Lepisosteus oculatus: one gene and its partner. The protein of the gene in region 1 interacts with the protein of each later gene in a pairwise test. Links are inferred from orthologs where the notes say so. Each region holds a gene or a part of one and is shown on either strand. Other genes may lie near its edges.

Evidence for each region. The genes of interacting proteins can lie anywhere in the genome.
Region 2: the proteins of ube2kb (region 1) and rnf5 interact in binary tests that used the Homo sapiens proteins (3 or more experiments, as listed by UniProt). The link is inferred for Lepisosteus oculatus from reciprocal best matches to the Homo sapiens genes UBE2K and RNF5.

The regions. Positions count from the first base shown.
Region 1 is NC_090696.1:68,332,078-68,335,823, reverse strand, and holds the start of ube2kb (ubiquitin-conjugating enzyme E2Kb (UBC1 homolog, yeast)), read left to right. Parts: upstream 1-1,150; 5' UTR 1,151-1,245; coding exon 1,246-1,308; intron 1,309-3,746. UniProt on the Homo sapiens protein: Accepts ubiquitin from the E1 complex and catalyzes its covalent attachment to other proteins. In vitro, in the presence or in the absence of BRCA1-BARD1 E3 ubiquitin-protein ligase complex, catalyzes the synthesis of 'Lys-48'-linked polyubiquitin chains.
Region 2 is NC_090709.1:39,110,911-39,114,656, reverse strand, and holds the start of rnf5 (E3 ubiquitin-protein ligase RNF5), read left to right. Parts: upstream 1-914; 5' UTR 915-918; coding exon 919-1,094; intron 1,095-1,543; coding exon 1,544-1,562; intron 1,563-1,848; coding exon 1,849-1,961; intron 1,962-2,231; coding exon 2,232-2,286; intron 2,287-2,816; coding exon 2,817-2,928; intron 2,929-3,584; coding exon 3,585-3,706; 3' UTR 3,707-3,746. UniProt on the Homo sapiens protein: Membrane-bound E3 ubiquitin-protein ligase that mediates ubiquitination of target proteins. May function together with E2 ubiquitin-conjugating enzymes UBE2D1/UBCH5A and UBE2D2/UBC4.

The DNA of each region.
Region 1 (3,746 bases):
TCGGTGGTTCTCTCTTACTTGCCCTGCTGTACTCTTTGTTATCCATTTTGTGTTGTGTATCAGTACTGCACAAGGTCAAAAGGTCAGTGCTTCACTGATGGACTGCTGAATATGCTGCACCACTAATCTCTAGCCCATTGTTACTTCCTGGAGGCCTAGATTTCAGAGAGATGTTTTGGGGAGTAGTTTGGAGTGGTTATTCGGAGTGGTAAAAACAGCAATCTAGAATTGTTCTATGTAGACCTAATGAGACATGAATTAAGTCTGAGGTAGTTAGCAGTATTTCTGTTTTTTTTTTATCCAGTCATAAACGTTATTCAGTTATAGTATTGGAACTCTTCTTAGGTACTTAATTGAACCACGGTTCTGACAAATATGAGTCACATTGATTATGTTTTTGCTTTATGACACTTTAAAACTGGATCTTGTCACATGTCAGAAGCTAAGCAAGACTTGGCCTCGTCAGTAAAAGGAAAATTAGATGGCTGACAGAACTTGTTTTGGTACATCAGTAGGTGGCACTCTTCCCTATTAGATGAGAGGGCAAGGTGCTGTAAAGATCGAAATCTTTCAAATGAGACTTTTCATAGGCCCCTCTGTACTTGTCACATTAACATTTCGTACAGCACTTTTTTACAACTAAAATGGTCCCGCGTTCCTCCGTTTGTAGTACATATTGCCACACACTCGGTTAATCATTCGGCAAAAATATCGTTCACTGAATTTCATGTTCGTGTATGTAGTGGGTGGAAACGTAGATAAAATGTAAATAAAATACAAATATAAAAAGCACAAAATTAAATATGTGCAAAAGATGGGCCCTATCTCGAACATCACACCTGGAAGGAAAAAAACAAATCGATTACAAAAATAAGCTAAGCAGGTTATGCTCCAGCACCTATTTCAGTTGAGTAGTGACATTATTATAATAAAACGCCTAGCTTTGACTGTGTAGCCCCGGAATGGGAAAACGCCATTAAGCAGAGCTCCTCTCCTCGGAATCCGTAAAAACATGACACATATTACATCTCAGAATACCTAGCATATCCCTGAAGGAAGTTGTTTTATTCCAGTTTGTAACATATTGTTCTTTTGGCACAGTGCGCAGACTCCGCGGATCGCCATTTGTGTGCGGGTAGGGGGGGGGGGTGTCTGTTTTTGTTGTAAAAAAAAAAGAGGAGCAGAGCGACGCTGCAGCTGTAGGCCTGTATCAGCAAACAGCGACAGAGAGGAGACGGCAAAGCCATGGCCAACATCGCAGTGCAGAGGATCAAACGAGAGTTCAAAGAGGTCCTTAAAAGCGAAGAGGTTAGCCATTCTTGCTTCTCTGAACGCTTGAGCCACGTACACGACACTCAGATAAGAAAAAAATAGAGAGTAATTTAACAGTTGAAAAAGGGCTACCGAGGCCCCGGGAAGGGGAAGTTAATGTCATCCCGACCGGGGCCGTCCAGAGGGGGCAGCTCCTAGGGCTGACGGAGACGGCCGGGGAGGGGTTCAGGAAATACCGGGGATCAGGAAGGAGGTTAGGCCGAGTGCAGGGAGTAAAATTAAAAATAAGAGCCCAGTCAGTGGGATTGGACTTCCCTGTGTTTGTGAAAGCCTTTTCGCTTATACGGTATAGTGGTTTTTTAAAAAAAATAAAAATTCCAGTGTGACGGGGGTAGTGGATTTTGTAAACTAAGCCAAAGTGACATGCTTCCTCTCTCGGTTTCGGGGGAAAAAAAGATGTCCTGGATCACTTTGTAGAAATTCAGGTTGGCGTGAAAGGGGAGCGTGGTCCTGCACCAGAACTCAAAATGTGGCTGTCATTAAGACGGGAGCTCCATTTCTGTCCCAGTTAACTACCCGATCGTGATCTCCAATCCTGATCCGGTTCTGGACAAACCCACATCCTCACTGCCACAAAGTTATGTAACAAAGCGGACGAATCCAGCGATCGCGAAGCGGCTTCCTTAGCTAAACACAGAAGCTGGTTCCTTTATTGTGGTTATCGGGGATTTTTTACGAAGCTCATCGATATTGGGTTTGAATGTTGAGAAAGCACGATCGTAAAGACTGTAACAGCTGTTGCAGAGGTGTCATCCCTTTCTCATTCACACATTTTGAACTGCAGCTCTGCCGACAACGCCATGTGTGTTGAGTGCATACAGACGTATTGAAAGTAGAGCACAGAGAAGGGGCCTGTCTCACTGTACGGATCAGGCACTCAGCATCATTGTGCTACCCTGAACACGTTATTAATCAGCCTGAACCTTTTCGTACTACCGTTTTATTACCGCCGGTTATTTCTCCGCTGTTTCAGTGCGTATAAAGATTTGCGTCCTCCTTTTGTTAGGGAGAGAAGAGCTTTGAGACTTCAATGTCAGAATATGCTTCCGTATCATGTAAAAAAATATCTTCTTATGAATCGAAATCCAGCTATCCAATATCCATCTTTTATTGTCTGAAGTCAGCAGCCACTGTTTGGAGAATAATTTGTTTTACAGCCTGAAACATTGTCGCCTCAGTTATGGTGCATCTGAGAGTCACCATTCTACAAATCATAGACATTTTAAAAGTGTCTTGCTTTATGATTGAATGTACTTCTGTAATAAAGCTAAATGAAAGCTGAGCCACCGCAAGGTAGTGCATTTCTTTAGACTCGAGGTAAAACTGTACGTCAGTGATTCCACCTCAACCTGCTCGGTAAGAATCTAAAATGAATCCTTAAGCAATTAATAAGTTTAATAAGGCAGCGATGCAGAGCAGTGGTCTGGGCTCTGGGTTCAAGACTGGAAGGATGCTGTTGTATCTTTGAGCAAAGGTACTTGATTGAAGTTGCTGCAGTAAATGCAGTGTAAATGATGCAGTATTATTGAGTCTCGAGGTCATGATTGTACAGGACTGAGAATGAAAAGTTAAAAAGAAGCTAGAATTCTGCAGCTTTTGTGTGTCTGCTCCAATTCAGATTCAGACTACAATCCTCGATAGACATGAATCTGCAGACGTGTCATAAATTCTTATCCACATACTGTATGAATGGTGCTGTTGAAATGAGACGTGTGTTAAGCTATTATACCATGTTTTGAGCATCTTTGCTAAAGGTGTGCCATTGTGCTACCACGTGTCCTGTCAGTGTTGTTGCCTGGGTCTCCTGTTCTACCTCAGGAAGACTCAGTTCAGGCAGAAGACATTTGAAGTCCCAGATGTGGCACTTCGGGATTTCAAGATTGGGAAAAAAACAACCCGAGAAAGAATTCCTGTCGTTTCCCACATTTGGAATACTTGAGCTAGCTCGTGATATTGAACACTTTTATACTTAAGCAGGGTCTTCGAGACAACAGAGGTATGACTGCCGAAGTTTCCTTGTGTTAAGGGGCGTTGAGCATACTCCTGCTTTTCTCCGTTCCGCCATTTGTTAGAGGAGATGTCCCAGGATACCAGTGGACGTTCTGCGGACAGTCTGTTCTTCTTTTATTAGTGTAGTAGGAAGAGATGAAATTCCGCACTGCAGAACATTAAAAGTACACGACATTTGTTCCCCAAAGACAAGTGTGTAGACCCTCTCAGTTTGAACAAATCCCGAAATCGGGCTCCGAAATCATGTTTTCCGAATCTTTCCCTGGTTAACTACCCTTTCTACCCCTCAGTGCTGACTGGCAATTTGAGCCAGTCATGCTAATTAGTGTACTGTGCTGTTTAATTGTAAGGTTGTTACAGTCAGATTTCAGTCTTTTGCAACGTTTGTCTCTTTGATGTTATGA
Region 2 (3,746 bases), on another chromosome or scaffold:
GGAGTTTGATACACTTTGATGAACTGGGGTCTTTTGTTTCTGACAAACCTGACAACGTTTCTCCTTCTCTCACGGCAAAAAAACACAGTACAGCGCAGTACAGCCCAGTAGGATCAGGGTAAAAACACAGTACAGTGCAGTAAAGCCCAGCGAGATCAGGGTTAAAAGCACAGTACAGCGCAGTAAAGCCCAGTAAGAACAGGGTAAAAACACAGTACAGTGCAGTAAAGCACAGTAAGAACAGGGTAAAAACACAGTATAGTGCAGTACAGCCCAGTGAGATCACGGTAAAAACACAGTACAGTGCAATACAGCCCAGTGAGATCAGGGTAAAAACACAGTACAGTGCAGTAAAGCACAGTTAGAACGGGGTAAAAACACAGTACAGTGCAGTACAGTCCAGTGAGAGCAGGGTAAAAACACAGTACAGTGCAGTACAGCCCAGTGAGAGCAGGGTAAAAACACAGTACAGCGCAGTACAGCCCAGTGAGATCAGGGTAAAAACACAGTACAGCGCAGTACAGCCCAGTGAGCTCAGGGTAAAAACACAGTACAGTGCAGTAAAGCACAGTAAGAACGGGGTAAAAACACAGTACAGTGCAGTACAGTCCAGTGAGAGCAGGGTAAAAACAGTACAGCGCAGTACAGCCCAGTGAGAGCAGGGTAAAAACACAGTACAGCGCAGTACAGCCCAGTGAGAGCAGGGTTAAAGCACAGCACAAGTGTGGGGAACCTGAATATGATAAAAACAGAGCGCAGGATAAACGCATTTCTGAAAGAATCGCGACCCATTCATGCTCGACGCCAAGCCGGGAGGCGCCTCTACTCGGTGAATTACGGGCCCGGCGTGTCACCGGCGGAAACCGGAAGAGACCGGAGGCGAGCGAGCGAGCGAGCGAGCCAGGCAGGTAAACAAACATGGCGGCGGAGCCCAGGCGCACGGCGGACAGCGGTCCGGCCGAGGACGGCGACCGGGGCGGGACGGGAGGCGGGCTGGGCCGGGACACGGAGCGCGACCGGGCCACCTTCGAGTGTAACATCTGCCTGGACACGGCCAGGGACGCGGTGATCAGCCTGTGCGGACATCTGTTCTGGTGCGAGCTGGGGTCGGGGCTCAGAGGCAGCGACACTGTCTGTGTGTGTGTGTACACAGAGGGGGGTGGGGGTGGGGAACAGGCTGCCAAGCCCTGTGGTTGAAGCCGATACCCTGGCTTCTCTCCAGACACAGCTGGGTGAGCTCCTCCAGTCAGGACAGGAGGCTCTTCTGTACACAGAGGGGGGTGGGGGTGGGGAACAGGCTGCCCAGCCCTGTGGTTGAAGCCGATACCCTGGCTTCTCTCCAGACACAGCTGGGTGAGCTCCTCCAGTCAGGACAGGAGGCTCTTCTGTACACAGAGGGGGGTGGGGGAGTGGAACAGCTGGATGAATTCCTCTGATCAATTAGCTACTGACCCACCAAACGGGTCTAATGTGCATAGTGACTTCTTGTTTGTAACCTTTCTGAAATTAAATGCAAATCTCTTTGCTTTCTTTCATGAAACAGCTGGCCATGTCTACACCAAGTAAGTGTTTTTTTAATTTCTTCCTTGGTGTATGTTTAATGTAACTTTCAGTCAGTTTGTCTCTCTCCCAGTACAGTGTTCATGTACTGGAGTGTCCAGTCAGTGTGTCTGTATGAACCCCTCTCTCTCTCAGTGCAGTGTTCATGTCCTGGAGTGTCCAGTCAGTGTGTGTGTGTGAACCCCTCTCTCTCAGGTCAGTGTTCATGTCCTGGAGTGTCCAGTCAGTCTCTCTCTCTCTCAGGTCAGTGTTCATGTCCTGGAGTGTATTAACCCCTCTCTCTCTCAGTGGTTGGAGACCCGCCCCAGCAGACAGCAGTGTCCAGTGTGTAAGGCCGGGATCAGCCGGGAGAACGTTATTCCTCTGTATGGAAGAGGGAGCTCAAGTCAGGATGACCCACGGTACTGTCCTGTCCTGTCCGTTGTGTGTCCACTGTGCGCCAGTGTCTGTCTGAGTGAAGTGGGGCAGGTTTTTAGTGCTCATAGACTCCAGCTGCACAGCAGTCCCTTCCTTTCCAGGTTTTACATCTGACCCGTTGTCTAGTGGTAACAGTCGGACCACAGAGCACTGCGAAACCCGGTCTTCTGAAAGACTCAGGAGGTTTCCTGTTTTCCAGTTGTTGGTATCTTTGCTCAGCTTCATGAATTAACTCTTTCTTGGTGTTTTTATAGATTGAAAACTCCTCCTCGACCTCAGGGACAGAGACCAGAGCCGGAGAGCAGAGGGGTGAGTCACTGAGTCAGGGTGTCTGTATGAACCCCTCTCTCTCTCAGTGCAGTGTTCATGTACTGGAGTGTCCAGTCAGTGTGTCTGTATGAACCCCTCTCTCTCTCAGTGCAGTGTTCATGTACTGGAGTGTCCAGTCAGGGTGTGTGTATGAACCCCTCTCTCTCTCAGTGCAGTGTTCATGTACTGGAGTGTCCAGTCAGTGTGTGTGTATGAACCCCTCTCTCTCTCAGTGCAGTGTTCATGTACTGGAGTGTCCAGTCAGTGTGTCTGTATGAACCCCTCTCTCTCTCAGTGCAGTGTTCATGTACTGGAGTGTCCAGTCAGTGTGTCTGTATGAACCCCTCTCTCTCTCAGTGCAGTGTTCATGTACTGGAGTGTCCAGTCAGTGTGTCTGTATGAACCCCTCTCTCTCTCTCAGTGCAGTGTTCATGTACTGGAGTGTCCAGTCAGTGTGTCTGTATGAACCCCTCTCTCTCTCAGTGCAGTGTTCATGTACTGGAGTGTATGAACCCCTCTCTCTCTCTCAGCCCTTCCAGGGTTTCGGTGACACTGGGTTCCACATGTCCTTCGGTATTGGTGCGTTTCCCTTTGGTTTCTTCACTACAGTCTTCAACACCAATGACCCGTTTCACCGCGCAGGTACAGTGTGTCTCTACAGGAGTGTGTGTGTGTCTATACAGTGTGTCCAGTAAGAGTCTACAGGAGTGTGTGTGTGTCTATACAGTGTGTCCAATAAGAGTCTGTACAGGAGTGTGTGTGTGTGTCTATACAGTGTGTCCAGTAAGAGTCTGTACAGGAGTGTGTGTGTCTATACAGTGTGTCCAGTAAGAGTCTACAGGAGTGTGTGTGTGTCTATACAGTGTGTCCAATAAGAGTCTGTACAGGAGTGTGTGTGTGTGTCTATACAGTGTGTCCAATAAGAGTCTGTACAGGAGTGTGTGTGTGTGTCTATACAGTGTGTCCAGTAAGAGTCTGTACAGGAGTGTGTGTGTCTATACAGTGTGTCCAGTAAGAGTCTACAGGAGTGTGTGTGTGTCTATACAGTGTGTCCAATAAGAGTCTACAGGAGTGTGTGTGTCTCTACAGTGTGTCCAGTAAGAGTCTGTACAGGAGTGTGTGTGTGTGTCTCTACAGGAGTGTGTGTGTCTGTACAGGAGTGTGTGTGTGTGTCTCTACAGGAGTGTGTGTGTCTGTACAGGAGTGTGTGTGTGTTGTGCTCTCAGTATCATGAGGTTATATAGCGACTCTCCAGCTGGAATCTGTTCTGATTTGGGGGTTCTCTTCCTCGCCCCCAGATACTCCCCACCCAGGCGGCGGTTACCCGGACAACGGTAACCCCGGCAACGGCAACAGCTGGCAGGACTCCCTGTTCCTCTTCGTCGCCATCTTCTTCTTCTTCTGGCTGCTGAGCATCTGAGGGCGGGGGGCCGGGGGGGCCGGGGGGGCGGGCGAGGTGT